Caenorhabditis elegans: one gene and its partner. The protein of the gene in region 1 purifies or fractionates together with the protein of each later gene. This does not show direct contact. Each region holds a gene or a part of one and is shown on either strand. Other genes may lie near its edges. The genes, in order: ife-5 and ifet-1.

Region 1 (8,650 bases):
CCTAAAAATTTTTGCGTTTTTCATGCATTTTTCATGAAAAATGGAATTTTTCGAGCTGAAATTGTAAAATTTTTGAATTTTTTCAAATTTTTATATGGAAAATTCAATTTTTCGTGGCTTTCTAGCATTTTTTGCTTGAAAAACTTCAATTTTAGGCGGAAATTGTACGATTTTTTTCGTTTTTTTTTTCTATAAAATTCGATTTTTCCTCCATTTTATTGTATTACTTTGCAAAAGCATCGATAATTCCGCCCATAAAAACTGCACAAAGAACATTCTCAATAGGCATCAGAACATCATGTACGGAGAGACACAGAGAAGCCAGCTTGAAGTAGATGAAGAATCCGACGACGCACTGAAATTGAGAAAAAATTGGTTAAAATTTCAAGTTTTATCGATTTTTTGTTCGTAAAAAAGGTAAATTATCTACTTTTTATGGCTTAAACTAGAAAAAATTGTCAATTTCGTAGAGTTTTTGGGCTGAAAATCGAAATTCTCACATAAAATTCATTTGTTAAGCTTCTTTTTCGCCCAAAAATGCAGTTTTCCGGCCAATTTTCTTTGATTTTCAGCCTTTTTTCACCTAACACTGTAGTTTTCTGGCCAATTTTTTCGAATTTTAGAGCTTTTGTAGGCTGAAAATCCACGTTTTTCAACTAAAACTGTAGTTTTCTGGCCAATTTTCTTGGATTTTCGGGCAATTTCAGCCTGTTCTAACCGAAAAATGCAGTTTTCCGGCCAATTTATTCAAATTTTTAGCCAATTTTCAACCATTTTTACCATAAAAATTTAGTTTTCCTGCCAATTTGGACAGTTTTTCAAAGATTTTCGGGCAATTTCAGGCCTTTTTCATCTAAAACTGCAGTTTTCCGGCCAATTTTTTGGAATTTTCAGTCATTTTTAACCTAAAAATGCACTTTTCTGACCAATTTTCTTGGATTTTCAGACTATTTTCAGCCTTTTTCCATTGAAAACTAAGGTTTCTGACAAATTTTATCGGATTTTCAGGGATATTTCGGCTATTTTTCACCGAAAAATGCACTTTTCTGACCAATTTTCTAGGATTTTCATGCAATTTCAGCCCTTTTTGATCTAAAACTGAAGATTTTCGGTCAATTTTCGGTTGATTTCCGCTGAAAATGCAGTTTTCCGGGGCTAATTTACTCGTATTTTCAGTAGTTTTTCACCGAAAAATGCAGTTTTCAAGCAATTTCAGCCAAAAAATCCACACTCACCAAGTACACCAAATCGTGTGGCGCCGTAACATACATACTATGCCGTTCCAAAGTGAACACAATAGACGCTATAACACACGCTTTTGTGGTAAACGATGGCCGAAGAATTTCATGATTCGTCGGGTGCCATGTGCCACGTGCCAGTTGCTCAACGATCTTTACAACGCCTGAGCCGGCTCCTTTCGCGACTCCAACAAGAATTTGCACCAAATAAGACTCTGGGTAGATCCTGACGGCGTGCTTCACCCCCGCAGCAATCTTATGCGTCCGTTGAACCTCTTTCAGCACTGAGAGCCCGAGCTTCACGGGAAACCACGTGGCGAGCCGGAAAACCACGTCGAACGGTGAATAGAACACCAGGTACCAGACGATGGAGCCGAGGAGTATGTCGGCGTGCTGTTTGAGCGGTGAGATGATGGGCTCGCCGAGCAGAAAACAGGAGAGGAAGCTGCCGGCGAACGACATGAGCATACAGGAGAGCCAGCATGAGAATGGGTGCTTACGGGAGAATGAGATGGCGTCTGGTCCCAAGTCGTGGCGGACGGAGAGGCAGGTCTGCAAGATTTGTCATGTTTTTCGGTAAAAATCTACTGAAAAATAGCGTTTTTCGATTTTTTTACTAAGAAAATTGGAAGTTTTCTGGCTTTTCTCTTGAAAATAGACAAATTTCTCTCCAGAAAATCTGATTTTTCTGGTGTTTTTATAAACACGAATTCACGCATTTCCTCGTTTTTTCGGGCAGTTTTTTGCAAAAAATTTGAATTTCCCAGCTTTTATGCAATTTTCCCGTCAAAATCACACATTTTTTATCAACATATAAACCTTACCAATACATAATGCGCCGCATCAAAGTACGGATAGAGCTTCAGCTTTTGTACGTAGCCTCCGGCATCTATTAGTGTGTCGTGATCGATGCTCCACTCGTCGGGAACCCATCCCATAGCTGAAAAAATTGGATATTTATTCGAAAAAAGTAATGAAAAACAGCAAAATTGGGCGAAAATCAATATTTTTGAAGGGAAATTGAAAATTAAAATCGAAAAAAATTGGGTTTTTTAATTACGCTAAACAACACGCGTATGCGGGATTTCGGAGCGTCGTTGCAACATTTTTATACTTTTTAATGCATTTTGCATTTAATTTTCCATTTTATTTGAGAATTCAGCGATAAATTTTATAAATTTGATGTTTGAGAACCCGGAAAATGATATTTAATCGATATTTTGCAATAATAATAACGAAAAGCTTGCAGAATCCGCCGAAATTCCCATGACAAGCCGGATTTTGCAACGATTCTTCACTGTTTCGACAAGTTTGAGGAGTCTGACACGCGCAGAAGTTCCCGGAGAGAAGATTGATGCAAAGAGGTGAATATTCTGTGAAAAAACATTGAAAACTGAGGGAAATTTTAATTTTTCCTCAAGTTTTACCGGAAAAATTGAACAAAAATTTAATTTTCCAGAGCCCGGCTTCTCTACCAAAGCAAAAAACGTGGAATTCTGGAAAACGACATTCTCCTGGGCGATTTTGCCGAGCAAAACCTCAAAAAAATGAGCGAGCCCGAGCTGAAGGCCTACGATAAGCTCATCAACGGAGAACACATGGAATGGGACCTCTTCTACTATCTTTCCAACAAGAAAAGCCCGCCGGAAGACGTGGAAAGCTGTCAGGTTTACCAAAAAGTCAAGAAGTTCGTCGACGACAAGCGAGTGCCGAAATCATGATAATTTGATAATTTTTTGCCGGAATTTCCTCAATTTTCCCCTGAAAATCTCGAATTTCCTTTTCTCTCTGTACATTTTTTAGGTTTACCGTTGATTTTTTTACTATGAAAAGGTGATTTTTGTCCTCAAATTTCTTGAAAAATGCGTGAAAATTCGCTTGAAAAATATTTGAAATTGTTTAATTCTCATTTTTGACAGTTTTCTGCTATTTTCCATGAATTTTCGGCCAAAAAATCTCGAAATTCGTTGGATTTTGCAGATTCTCACCAAAAAAAAACGCATTTTTCTGTCCATTTTCAAAGAATTAATTCTTATTACGCTAAACAACACGCGTCTGTGGAATTTCGGAGCGTCGTTGTTCAACATTTTTACACTTTTTAATGCTTATTTTCCATTTTATTTGAGAATTCAGCAATAAACTTTATAAATGTTATGTTTTAGAACTCGGAAAATGATATTTAATCAATATTTTGTAATAATAATAACAAAAAGCTTGCAGAATCCGCCGAAATTTCCATGACAAGTCGAATTTTTCAACGATTCTTCAGTGTTTCGACAAATTTGAGGAGCCTGGAACGCTGCTTAGCAGTTCCCCGGAGAGAAGATTGATGCAAAAATGTGAATATTCGGTTAAAAAACATTGAAAACTAGAGGAAATCGTCAATTTTCCTCAATTTTTACCGAAAAAAATCAGAAAAAAACGTAAATTTCGAACAAAAAACTAGTTTTTCAGAGCCCGCGGCTTCTCTACCAACGCAAGAAACGTGGAATTCTGGAAAATTTATCTTTTAAAAATTTATTCCATTTTCCCCGTGAACTTGTAATGACACGTCATTTAGGGCACAATTACAGTTGGCGTTTTCCCCAGAATTCTTCTTTCGGCTTCTCAGAGATCAGTCTGAAAATCTCTGGTTTTTCTCGCCGTTTTGCATCACTTTTTCGTTCCACGTGTCCATTTTTATTAGCTTTAAAACATGCCTATGAGGTCACAATGACCGAATATCATAGTAAAAAAATTCGAAACAATTTTCTAGATTTTATATGATTTTTTGAAAATTGAAGAAATCTCAGTTTTCCCCTAATTTCTATTTGAACTACCGCCAATTGGATTTGTTCGGTGGAGCGCGCTTGCACTACTTTAATTAAAAAATTTCCATTTATTCTGGTTATTTGACTGATTTTCTTCATTTTATATGTTCTTTTCATCAGAAAATCGAAAAAATAAATAAGAAAAATGCAAAATGTTTGTTAAAAAGTAACTAAAAATGCCTGAAACTGTTATATTTTATAGTTTCACGCAGTTTCAGTTACTTTTTAACAAACATATCGCATTTGACTTGTTTATTTCTTTCATTTTCCGATGAAAAAACATATAAAATGAAGAAAATCAGTCAAATAAGAAAAAAGAATAAATAAAATTAATTAATTAAAATAATGCAAGCGCGCTCCAACGAACGAGTTCAATTGGCGGAAATTCAAATAGGAATTAGGGGGGAAAACTGAGAATTTTTCAATTTTCAAAAAATCATATAAAATCTAGAAAATTTTTTTGAATTTTTTACTATGATATTCGGTCATTGTGGTTCCATGGGCATATTTTAAAGCAATTTCCCCACTGAGCGTAGTCCACCTTTAAAGGTGGGGACCAAAATTTGAGACTTTGATTTTTTAGACCCAAAATGGTCCAAAACTACCGAATTTCATAATGAGACTTCACAAAAAATTTCCAAAATTTTTTTATGAGCGGTCAAAATTTCGAAAAAAAAAAGAGCCAAATTTTGCTAAAATCTGAAATTTCGCACACATTTCTTTTTGTCACAGCTGCTGGATTTTAGTTTTTCTAAAATTATCACCCGTTAATCCTTATTTTGGTAATTTATCTCGCGGAAATTCGTTGATTGAGACAACTTTTAGGCCGATAGGCATCCAAAAATGATCAAAATTGGATGCCTATCGGCCTAAAAGTTGTCTCAATCAACGAATTTCCGCAGGATAAATTATCGAAATAAGGGTTAAAAGGTGATAATTTTAGAAAAACTAAAATCCAGCAGCTGTGACAAAAAGAAATGTGTGCGAAATTTCAGATTTTAGCAAAATTTGGCACTTTTTGTTGTGAGATGGTCCCATCTCCCAACTATCTGGTACTCTGAGACACTCGCGAATACTCCCATCGTGTTCGCCGTACCAGAAAACCTATAAACCGCTCCTTCCAGTCGCTCTATCTCCCCCTTTCTCTAATCTAACGCGCGCCCTCATTTGAATCTCCTGCCAAGCTCAATGGTCTCGCAGCGAGTGTGCGCCGCGGGTCTCACCGCGCGCCCTCCTTGCTCATCCTAATTCGCTGGCCTAAATTAGTCGCTCCTCAACTCCCTTCACTCGTCTCGTCACCGCACCAGCGGAACCTTCCTTTCTTTTATAAATTAATTCTTTTATATTTAATAAATTCCCTTAATAGTTTATCAACCGCTTTAGCCGTTTGTATAGCAATGTTCCTACACGGAAGATGCTAACATCCGCTAATGACACATGATAACTATTCCCTAATCGACAGTTCCCTTTTCTATTATTCTTTAGCTAATAAATGGGGTTTCATGGTAATATCTTGTGTTACTCGTTCACACCGCTTATCCTCAAGGCAGACACTAAGCCAAAGGATTCGAAGGCTAGTTTATGTTTTTTAATTCGGGAAAAATGAAACAAAAAATCGTTTATTGCGGAACTTTTCGAGACGTCAACTTACACCGGCTTTCTTTACAGGTTGAGACCAAACGTTCCAAAACCCAACCGCTCGCCACTGTTCCGGCGGTACAGGGTACGGAAATCACCATAGATTGAGCTAAACGCCGGTCTATTCCTACATCTCACCACACAAGGACCGTACCCCATTGTTGATCTCTCGTTCACACCGCTTATCCTCCTCTTCGCTCGGCACTCTGCAAACGCCAGTTCTCTCTTAGACTCTTCTTCCGGCTTGACCCCAGTTGCGGCTCCCCAACCCGCTACACTGGGCGGTCAACACTTTTTTCGAAATTTTAACTGGCCATAAAAAAATTTTGGAAATTTTTTGAGAAGTCTCATTATGAAATTTGGTAGTTTTGGACCATTATGAGTCTACTAAGGCACTAAAAAAGTTCGACTACACCACCTTTAATTAATTCTCTCTGTTTACTGATTTCAATAATCGAATTTTTTTCCAGGATATGACTGAATTGACGACACCCATCTATCCTCTGCAGCGGAACTGGTCGTGGTGGTTCTTGAACGATGATCGCAACGCGTCTTGGCAGGATCGTCTGAAAAAGGTGTACACCTTCAACACCGTACCGGAATTCTGGGCTTTCTACGAAGCTATCCTTCCACCAAGTGGCCTCAACGATCTGTGCGATTACAACGTTTTCCGTGACGATATTCAGCCGAAATGGGAGGCTCCGGAAAACTGGGATGGTGGACGTTGGCTCATTATCATTAACAAGGGAAAGACTCCCGAAGTGTTGGACGCCGTTTGGCTGGAAATTCTCTTGGCTTTGATCGGCGAGCAATTCGGAAAGGATATGGAGTCGATTTGTGGGCTGGTGTGTAACGTCAGAGGACAGGGATCGAAGATCAGCGTCTGGACTAAAAACTGTAATGATGATGATACTAATATGAGGATTGGGTATGCATTTTTTAATTTTTAATTTTTCAATTTTTTAATTTCGTCATTTCCAGAGTTGTGCTGAAGGAGAAGCTGATGGCCGCGGCATCCAAGGCACACTCGAAGCCACTGTTCGACGTGATTCACTACCAAACACATAGGAATTGCGTGAAGAAGACCACCTCGGCTCTGAAATACAAATTTTCATTGAAATCCATCGTCTAAATTTAATGTAATTTCCTCAATTTTCCCCTGAGAACCCCGATTTCCAGATTTCTCTGTACATTTTTTAGGTTTTCCGTTGATTTTTATTATTAAAAACTTGATTTTTGTCCTCAAATTCTTGGAAATTCCTCTTAATTGCGTTAAAATGCGTTAAAATTCGCTCGAAAATGTTTGAAATTTTGAATTTTCGATTTTGCGCGCCATGGGTCTCGCAGCGACTTTTCGAAAATCTTCAGATTTTTATTTTTTGCGCGCGCGCGCGATTTTTCCGATTTCGCAAAATTTTACATCATTTTTCACAAATAATCCTCAATTTTTATTCATTTTTGAGAATTTTTTGCCATTTTCCTTGAAATTACCCCCAAAAATCCTGAGAATTCGCCGAATTTTGCATCATTTTAGGCGTTTTTTATAGATTTTCGCCTAAAAAATTGCATTTTTCTGCCCATTTTTACAGAATTGTTGATTTATAGCTCTGTTTTTCATTCATTTTATGCTGAATTTCGATTTCCAGTGCATTTTTCTTGCGGAAACTTGGATTTTTGTCATTAATATCGATGTTTCTCGGCTGCTATCACCATTTTCAGCTATTATTCAGTTTTCCACGGGAAAATCGAATGAAATTCGCATGTTTTGTGACTCAAAACTCCATTTCTCGTCAATTCTTCAAAGAAATTAGGCCAAAATCGAATTTAAACGAAGAAAACCCGTGAAAAAACTATGGAATTTGAGTTTACAATCGATATTTTTGCGATTGTTTCGAAGCAGTTTTGCTGATTTTCAAGCTTTTTTTGATTATTTGAACGAAAAATTGCCATTTCCACGGGAAATTTGACTAGAAAATGGCTGAAAATCACTAAAAATGCCATTAAATTGAATAAATTATCAGAATTTCCTGCGATTTCATCATCGAAATGGTCGCTGATAAGGGAAAAATTACTGATAACTCATTTTCGAACATTTCCTCAGTTTAAAGTTTAAAATTCAGCCCTTTCAGTCGTTTATTACATTGATTTATGTGCATTTTCAGTAGATTTTGCTCAAAAATTACCTTCGTGCTCCCAAAAGTATGAAATAGACGATACAAATATGCAATACGAAGTGATATATCCAAATAAAAATTAATTCCAGTTGGCAAAATTTGAAATTTCATGAAAAAATGAAAAATTTCAGCTAAAATTTATCCATTTTTCGAAATTTTGAGGAGAATTCCAGTGGTATCATTAAGAAATGTACTATTTTTGCATCTTCAATGCCTTTTTTACACTATCATTAATTTTGCAAACTTCCCCATTACCGACATAGTTGGTAGGTTCTGTAACTTGTTACATTACTACAGTGCTCCACATAATGATACGGCCACCCCCAAATTTTGGTATAACTCAAAACTGGGTTGAGATAGCAAAACATAGTTTCTTGTGAAAATGTTCGCTGTACTGGCTAACTTTCAGATAAGTATTGGAAATATACCTGAACCGTTCGTAAAAAAAGATAGACCATTTTTTCATGAAAAACCATATAAAAAAATCCACAAAATGATACGGCCACCCTTGGTTTTTGTTTTCCTTTTTCGTTTTTTTTGCAATTTTTTTTGCTAAACGCTATGTTTTTCATGTTCGTTTGTGTTTTTACAGCTATGGGTCGTGGAATAACTTTAACTTACTACGAAAAAGGACAAATTGTGCAAAATTATCTCAAGGCTTCTCGGATCGTCAGATTTTTCGTGATTTGAAACGTTTGAGAGATATGATCACTCGATATGCTTCAAATCCTGCCGCTTATTGCACCAAAAAGTCTTCTGGTCGCCCATCACTCCTTTCTGGTAGAGACAA
Region 2 (8,632 bases), on another chromosome or scaffold:
TTCGCCGTAAGAAACACGCACCAATCTTGTCTGGAACACCGGTTGATTCTGAAATCGGATCTGCGCAAACGTGAGTTTTTGGAATGTTTCTCTGAAATACCGTGAAACGCTTGAATATTCAAAAAGCAGTTTTATACAAAGTAATTCCAGATTCTCGCCGGTTGCAACTCCTCCCGGAGAGTTGTCTTCGCCGTCTACAGTTTCATCTCATGTCAGCTCTGGAAGTGAACCGGAAAGTGATGCCGAGGTTGTTACCGAAAAAGAACTCAAGGTAATATGCCAGTTAAGCAGCAGACATTTGGCGGCATTATCCAGAAGGTGTGCGCCTTTAACATGTACAGTAACCCGCTCAAGTTATTTTACTATTTTCAAACACTCAAATGTGTGAAAGTATTTTTTAAATTTTCGGGAGGACTAATCAAGTTAGAAATTGCATATTTTCCCAAAAATAACGAGGAGTGGGTTACTGTACTTTTTAAAGACGCGCACTTATTTTTTTCTGCTTCGATTAAAAATTTCTGAAAAGTTTATTAGTGGCAAGAGTTTTGCGTGAAAAATATGAAATCTACGAAGATTTATTTTATTATATTACAGCTCTTCTTCGATCCACCTGAAACAATTGAGGAACACAAACAATGCCGCCGTTCGATGGTTCTTGCTCCGAGCAGCGAAGAAGAATTGCTTGAGAACTTGAAAAAATTCGAAGCGGAGAGAAAGACCAAGTGTAATGTAAGTGTTTCTATTGTATTTGAAATCAAAATAAAATCAAATTTCAGACTTGTTTCAAGAAGCTCTCCGCAGCTCAACAGACCATGCATTGCAAGTGTCTTAGAATCTTCTGTGATCGTCATCGTCATCCAAAGAATCATACATGTGTGATTGACTACAAGCAGGATGGACGGAACAAATTGAAGAAGAATAACTCGAAAGTTGGAGATGGCGGATGGAGAAAAGCCAAGTTTGAATCATAGGAAAAGAAGAATTAGGAATTAGAAGAACTCGGTTTTTACAAAATGAAAGAAATATGATTTTGAATGAATTAGTTTACTCGATTTTAAACATGAATCAATTCCACTAAAGACTTTATCTTGAAAATAACATTTGAATCATGGTTTCAGCAAAAACTTTCGACCACGGCAGGACTCGAACCTGCAATCCCCAGATTCGAAGTCTGGTGCCTTATCCATTAGGCCACGCGGCCACGAGAGCAGCACACCTCGAAAGGATATCAAATAGCAGGCACCACACTCCAACAGTCAACGCTCTCTCGGTGTTGTCTCTTAATGGTTAAGCAATTCGGCGTCTTGTAAATTTATAACTTATTTCTGGAATTTTTTATAAACTAGACTCCGAGATTCCTTGCATCAAATGCGACTCTTGGTTCTGGCACGACAGAAACTTTTCAACTACCGTACCTGTGAATACGGTAGGCTTATTAGTTTTTGCAACTTTCACAGGTTTTTCTTTCTTTTCTTGAAATAGTTTTAAATTCAAAAATATTTAACAACTAGGAAACGAAGAAACATCAATTATATTTAAATAGAAACCTAGACATATGTATTCAAACCCAGAATTCGGAAAAGGTTTAGTCGAGTCTTGCTAGTTCACTTTCCTTCTGTATTCGCCATGTATTGCAAAACCAAAAATTTAAAATCTTCTTCAATTATTCATTTTATCCAAATCCAAATCCATCTTATAGAACACATCACCTCTCATTTCTAAAATAAAAACGAAAAATGTGTCTACAAAAAACTGTTTGGAATGGTGAACTGCTTATGAAAAACGTGGCACAACATGGGAGGTGCACAAAAGGAGACAAAAAATAATGAGAACAAGAGTGGACGAGATCCAACAAAATGTGGACACCAAACTTGTACAAGTACAAAAACGTTTTAGGGACAATCTGATGTAAAATTGAGTGGGAGATGGAATTGAAAATGAGTGTACCCTTATAAAACTTTTCGCATTTTCGAGAGATCCTCTACGCATCCGACGGGATGCAAGAAATTCTCTACGAAGGTGTTTATACAAACTTTCCGAAGGGATTTGGGTAGATGTGAGGGGAAGAACAAGTGAAAAACCAGCTTACAAGAAAAGGGGAGGAAGAGAGAACAGTGTGTTCTAAAAGGCGGTAGGTTGGGGGAAAAGAAGTGAAATCATTGAGAATGGAGTTCTGATGAACTAAAAATGCAAATCATTCTGAATTCACTGAAGTTCGCTTTACAATCTATCGAGGTTCACTCGAGCAGCGGGGACCAATATATAAACACGTCGAAGATGCGTCAATATAACAAAACTTGGAACATAATTAGAAAAGTAAAAATTAAAAAAAAGGAAACAAACTTATTATGGGGCATTACGGAAACTATCAAGGGATCACCAACAAAGGTTGTGGGGGGACACCCCGCTGTTTTTTTCGATTTCAGTGAAATGCCGAACAACAAAAAACCGAAGAAAATAGCGACGGTAAAGCGAAATTTTGATGGGACACGAGGGAGAAAAGGACCAGAAAGAGATGGGATTATATGAACAAGAGAGAAGAAAAAAATAATACGAATACATGACTATGTGTACCCGCTTGGTGGATGGTAAGCGATAAACATGGTTGAATATATGTGAAGGTAGGAAAAACAAAAAAAAAGTTGCTATTATGAACTAGGGAATTAAACCCATATTTCTACTTTGGAACAGCTGTTAACTGTTTCTCGAGATCTTCCAGAGACATTGGACGGACCGACGATGGAATTCGATCTCCGGACCCTGAAAAAGTTAAATTAGCAAAAAATTAGAAAATTTTAGCACGAACCAGTGAATTGAGATCCCTGAACTCCAACCGATGCCAGCAGCTTCTCAAGCGGAGTTTGAATTGGCCCGACCTGCAAATTGGATATACTAATAGGCAAACGTTTCGATTTAAGCACCTGTGACAGCTCGGATGGAACCACAGGTTGGTGTTGTTGCTGATTATGACTGGGTCCCTGTCTCTCTTGCATGTTAGCCATCTAAAATTGAAAATATAATTTTGTATTGATTTAAAAAACGAGTACCTGGGCTTGCTGTTGTTGCATTTGAGCTATCTTTGCCATCAACATGTGCTGTTGTTGAGCACGGGACATCATCATCTTGAGGTGCTGCATTTGAGCTTGCTGGTGTTGAGCCATCAGCATTTGAACATTTGGTGGAAGTTGCTGCTGTGGATGTTGCTGTTGTCCGTTAACAACGCCGTTTCCGCGTGCCCATCCGACTCCAGAATTCATTGCCTGCACCATATTGGCATAGTTCTGCTGCATGTGCAATTTCTTCAGTTGGTTCATGGCATCAGATTGATTATGAGCGTCGGAAGTCTCTTGGTTGCTCTCTGGCGGGCTCTGACTCGTCTTTTCTTTCTTCTGATCAGCATTTGAGGAGCTCTTCTGCAATTGCCGCTGCACAGACGCAGGTATCATAGCAGGAGTGCGACCTTTGTGTTGATGATGCTGTTGTTGTTGCTGATGCTGCTGGATGTTCTGATGCTGTTGTTGAAGACTAACGAAAGTGAGAGTCTGAGACTGTAGGAAAGCCTTGTTACGCATGGATGCCATACGAAGTTGCTCATCTGAAAAATAATTCAATCATGAAATGTATTCAAAAATGCTTAACATACGAAGCTGTGGTGGAAGCTGCTGCCCATTGTTTGCACGAATTGCAGCATTGACTGCTTCTTGAAGTTGATTCTCGACATAGGCATTCAAAATCACTGGATTCTGTGCGAAGCTTGCAAGAAGGCTTGGATCTGCGATAATTTGCATTCCAGGATGAACCATAGGGTGATGCAAATGTTGTTGATGCTGTGGACCTCCATTTGGTGGTGTTGGTTGTCTATGATGATGTATGTGCTGACCAGACTCTGCTTGCTGTTTGGCGAATTTTTGCAGATGTTGCAGAAGTTGTGCTTGTTGTGATGGATCTTGCAATGGACTGACTTTTGAAGGTTCCTTTGACTCCATGCCTTTCTCCAAATCTTCCAACCGCATTCCTCCTTTTATATCACCAGCTCCAGAAGATGAAGCGTTGTTATCACCACCACTATGACCGAAAAGTCTTGCAAGCATTGGATTAGCCACGTTTTCATCGTTTCCGCCTCCAACTGACGAAAGCATAGCGTCCAATTCAGGGGACTTGTTCTTCTTTGCGAAGAACCGACTGAGACGACTAGTTCCTCCAGCAGTTTCCTCACTCTTGTGCGCCCAAGCCATATCGTCGCCATCGATCTTTCTTGATGTTTTTTGAATGTCAAGACATCCCAGAAGAGCCGCGAGTTCCTGATCCGTAGCCGGAAGAGCTCCTCCTCCCGAAGAAGAATAAGCAATTGCTGGATCGTCAATAGGTTCAGAAGTCTTGAGACCAGTTGATGACGGACGGGATCCAACGCACTCCACTGGCTCCGGAGCTTTCACAGCTTCTTTCTCCTTCTTTTCCTTTGGATTCTTTTTGTTCTTCACTTCTGAAAAGAATAACATTATAAAATAAATAGGAGACATTAGGAATACTTTTTGGTTCATCAAATCCGCGCAACTCAATCATATCGTCCATTGTAGTGGGACCGTCAGCCCATTCTGGCAGCTTCTCACTTCCGCTCAAGCTCGTAAGGCGTTCCTCTCTGAATTAGAAATATCAGCATTATTTTTAGCTACTACTCAATACTAACCTCCGTGGTGCGAATTTTGCCCCTCGTGTCGTATCCTTTTTCCATTCGGCTCCACGAGTACCACGTTCAAGCTGGTTACCTTTCTGCTGAAAAATGTTTGGTAAAACATGAAACATTATATTTTGAAACTGCGTACGAAGGATGGTTTGAAGTCATTTCCTCTCGAAGCAAATTTATCGGCACCACCGGTACTTCCGTTTCTCCAGTTCTTTCCATGCCCTCCCAATCTTTCGTACTCTCCTGAAAAATAAAGTTTATGATCAAACTCGTATTTCCAAGCTGATTACCGTCACGTCCTTTGTCGTCTGTTGGTGCTTTGCAGCCACTGCTAAATGCTCTCCGTTGTGGAGACAAACCCGTATTTTCATCAGCGCCAGCGCATAACGAATCAATTTTTTTCGACATCGGACGATTTTTAATTCCTTCGATTTCCCAACGGTGTTCAAGCCATTTCAAAGGAGAAAACTTACCATCTTCGCTGAAATTGTATTTTATGCAATTATATTTTGCGTACTGTACCACTAACCCATTGAAATCTTCTGAGAGGTTTTCAGGCCTCGTCATGCTTGCTTTGGTAGTTCTCAGTTCCATCATTCGTTCTCTGGTGTACGCTTTGAACGGTACCGTCGGAAGTGTGCCCCCTCCGAGAAGGGTTGAGACCATTGGGTGTAGGCCTTCGTCGTCTAGATGACTAGTCATATTTACACTGAAAAATCGAATGTCTATGATTAGTTATTCAACAATTAGCATTAAAATCCATCGCAGTCAGAAAAGAAGAGAATGCCAGCTGCGCAAGAACAACGTATCGCAATCGAGTTTATATCGATTTTTTGTTATGTCTAACTAAAAAAACGAAGCATAGCGATTTACCGCGCAGAAACTTATTTTGGCGACCAAAATTGATAAGAAGCAACTGAAAACCCATTAGAGCTGGAAAATACATAAAAGTTCTGGCGCTGCGCACATCTTCAAAAATTTAGCGCCAAAATTTGAATGGATTTGGTTTTGGCCTATTAATTTCCGATTAACGAGAGGTATGACAACTATTATAGCTGAAATGGCAGCTGAAAATGAGACGAATTGCATGCTTTAATTTTATTTTCGCATAATCTGGAAAGACGTCTGAAATAAGCGTAAGAACGAATGAAAACGGGTCTGTTTGAGAGAAGATGTCTCTCACGCGCTGTGACTACGGTAATACGCATTGTGGAGCGTCATGCGGAGTGTATGGCATACACTTGCGACGCAACTCGAGAATTGCAAATTTTAGGACTTTTCCGTGCCTTCTTTTTCCGTTTCCCTCCTATTTTTTCAGCAATTTTTGAAAAAAAATCAATTTTTCAAACAGTTATCCGTTTATTCAAGTGTTTATTAATATCTTATTGCAAACTCATGTGTCGAGTGGAAAATTCCGTCGAATTTTTAGCTTATACTCTCAATTTGTACTGTTAAATTATGTATTCCTATTTTCAGACACAGCTTGGCATCAATCCGCTTCAATCATGGCGGTCGGAAAGAACAATAACAAGATGGGAAAGAAGGGAGGTAAGAAGAAGGCCGTGGATCCATTCTCCCGCAAGGAATGGTACGACATCAAGGCCCCAAACATGTTCAACACCCGCCAGGTAACGTTTTATTTTGTTTTATAATTCTATAAATGCTATTTTCAGGTTGGAAAGACCCTTATCAACAGAACCCAAGGAACTAAGATCGCTTCCGAAGGACTTAAGGGACGTGTCTTCGAGGTTTCACTCGGAGACTTGAACAACTCTGAGGCCGACTTCAGAAAGTTCAAGCTCATCGCTGAAGATGTCCAGGGAAAGAACGTTCTCACCAACTTCCACGCTATGTCGATGACCCACGATAAGTTGTGCTCCATCGTCAAGAAGTGGCATACTCTCATCGAGGCCAACACCGCCGTCAAGACCACTGATGGATACACTCTCCGTGTCTTCGTTATCGCCTTCACCAAGAAGTCCGTCAACCAAGTCAAGAAGACTTCCTACACCAAGACATCCAAGATCCGCAAGATCCGTTCCGAGATGATCGGATGCATCGAAAAGGAGGTATGTAGCAAAAAATAACTAATGAAAGAAAACAAATTTTTTATTGCAGGTCACCGGATGCGACCTTAAGGAGGTTGTCAGCAAGCTCATCCCAGATTCCATCGGAAAAGATATTGAGAAGACCTGCTCCAAGCTCTACCCACTCCAAGAAGTCTACATCCGTAAGGTCAAGATCATCAAGAGACCAAAGGTTGATCTTGGACGTCTTCACGACTTGCACGGAGACTCCATCACCGTTGGAGCCGACGGTGAGAAGGTTGATCGCCCAGACGACTACGAGCCACCAGTCCAACAAGAAGTTTAAGTCTTATAATTTCATTGTTATGTCGCATTGCGATAAATGTTAAAATTAAAAAACTTCAAAAGTAACATACATCATATATATCTGAAAAATACAACTCAATTTTGTTAACGAAATATTTATGAGATCTAAACCCAACAAGCATGATTGGTGTGGACATACGGGATGGGATTGAGAGTGTCAAGCTGGCGCACGGTAGAACAAGATGATGGAAGATTCAGAGAAAAGAATTAGAAAATTGTTTTATTTGGAGTTCCAGTAAAGCGAGGGTAAAGTAGATCGTTTTTATCCAAAAGGATTGCAGATTGCGAAAATGTCAGTGAATTCACATCCCGTCTCACAGCACATATTCATTGTCCGTCCCAAAAGGCTGCCACCGCCGTCGTTGTAGTTTTCTGAAACACTCCTGCGTCGACGGCGCATTGGGCAAATCAAGTTGAAAGCGTCAAGGAATGAGGCACCACCTGTAAAATAACGACTTTAGACATTGAATTCCTAGAAATTAGAGTTATTTTTTGAATCAAAAAGCTAACTTCTTTCTATAATTCCTAAAATGAATTACCTGGTGGGCATAATTTCAGCGAACCGTGTTTGGCACGTGGTGGTCGGATAGTGTCCCGAGTGATTGGAGCCGGTCTAGAAAACAGCCCGAATGCGGCTACAGCAGCCATCAAAGACAGTAAAAGGAGTACCCCTCTGGTCGAGAACATTTGGATCACAGATACTCGCTTATGCCAACCGCGAGAAGCGAGTAACCGATTCTGAAATTAAAGATTTTTATTAAATTTTAGTTTTTAGAATTATAAGTAATTGAGAATTGTAGCATAACTAGATCCAGAAAAGTATTGTACGTATTTAAAGAATTTTGCAAAATGGGCGGAGTTTGAACACAGATGACAGCGGGAAATTGAATTTTTTAGACTTGAGCTTTTCGAACACTTAAAGCTGTTGTTGTTTCTCACATGAAATTCTTCTCCCACAATGCAAAGAGAAGCGTTAATTTCCGGGTTGGCGGATCCATTTTTAAAATGTCTTAATCGAAAACTTGTGAACGTGAACGAATTTTTGGATGAAAAAAGAAAAAAAAGAAAGGAGAGAGAGAGAATTTTCAAAGCAAAAAAATACAACTTTTTCGTCCGTCTTCAGTGTTTTTAAACACAGAATAGAGAGTTGATTAGATGCCGGATGACCAACACGTCATCTCTACAATTTTTTTTTCAAATCTCTTTTTAACCTAGTTTTTGATGTTAAAAAGCGAAGAAAAATAATGAAAATTTCAGATGTTTCAGGTTCAGAAGAAACTTTACTGCCGGATATTAACAGTTATTTTATTAATTTTCATAGTTTTTCCTATTATGGAGACGTAGAAAATTTCATTTTTTTAAATGGAGATGCAAGCGCGCTCCAATACCAAAGTAAAGTTGTTCGTGATTTTTTGTTATTTTCTTTCCGAAATTGATGAAATAAATTAAAATGAATTGTAAAAATTATTTCGGCGTAAAATCATTGAAAACAGAGGAAAGTATAAGAAAAATACGAAAAATGTATGACAATTAACAAAATTTTGAATTCATGGCT

What was found.
Region 2: the proteins of ife-5 (region 1) and ifet-1 purify together in Caenorhabditis elegans (affinity purification with western blotting, with the first as the bait; one study listed by BioGRID). This does not show direct contact.

What each region holds. Positions count from the first base shown.
Region 1 is NC_003280.10:12,277,204-12,285,853, forward strand, and holds ife-5 (Eukaryotic translation initiation factor 4E-5), read left to right. Parts: upstream 1-3,456; 5' UTR 3,457-3,577; intron 3,578-6,156; 5' UTR 6,157-6,159; coding exon 6,160-6,614; intron 6,615-6,667; coding exon 6,668-6,818; 3' UTR 6,819-6,936; downstream 6,937-8,650. Other genes in the region: tric-1B.2 (Trimeric intracellular cation channel type 1B.2), read right to left, coding at 228-355, 1,236-1,790, 2,063-2,176; Y57A10A.29 (Succinate dehydrogenase assembly factor 2, mitochondrial), read left to right, coding at 2,505-2,602, 2,698-2,959. UniProt on the Caenorhabditis elegans protein: Recognizes and binds the 7-methylguanosine-containing mRNA cap during an early step in the initiation of protein synthesis and facilitates ribosome binding by inducing the unwinding of the mRNAs secondary structures.
Region 2 is NC_003281.10:4,469,758-4,478,389, forward strand, and holds ifet-1 (Translational repressor ifet-1), read right to left. Parts: upstream 5,394-8,632; 5' UTR 5,387-5,393; coding exon 5,214-5,386; intron 5,166-5,213; coding exon 4,975-5,165; intron 4,928-4,974; coding exon 4,824-4,927; intron 4,774-4,823; coding exon 4,688-4,773; intron 4,640-4,687; coding exon 4,530-4,639; intron 4,484-4,529; coding exon 3,644-4,483; intron 3,596-3,643; coding exon 3,048-3,595; intron 3,003-3,047; coding exon 2,922-3,002; intron 2,877-2,921; coding exon 2,807-2,876; intron 2,761-2,806; coding exon 2,678-2,760; 3' UTR 1,646-2,677; downstream 1-1,645. Other genes in the region: mstr-2 (Ubiquitin-like domain-containing protein), read left to right, coding at 1-70, 151-271, 595-729, 777-971; rps-3A (Small ribosomal subunit protein eS1), read left to right, coding at 6,190-6,312, 6,358-6,753, 6,803-7,057; ins-17 (Insulin-like peptide 17), read right to left, coding at 7,340-7,518, 7,617-7,764. UniProt on the Caenorhabditis elegans protein: Involved in translational repression of multiple mRNAs in the distal gonad. Recruited to the 3' untranslated region (UTR) of zif-1 by oma-1 and is required for translational repression of zif-1.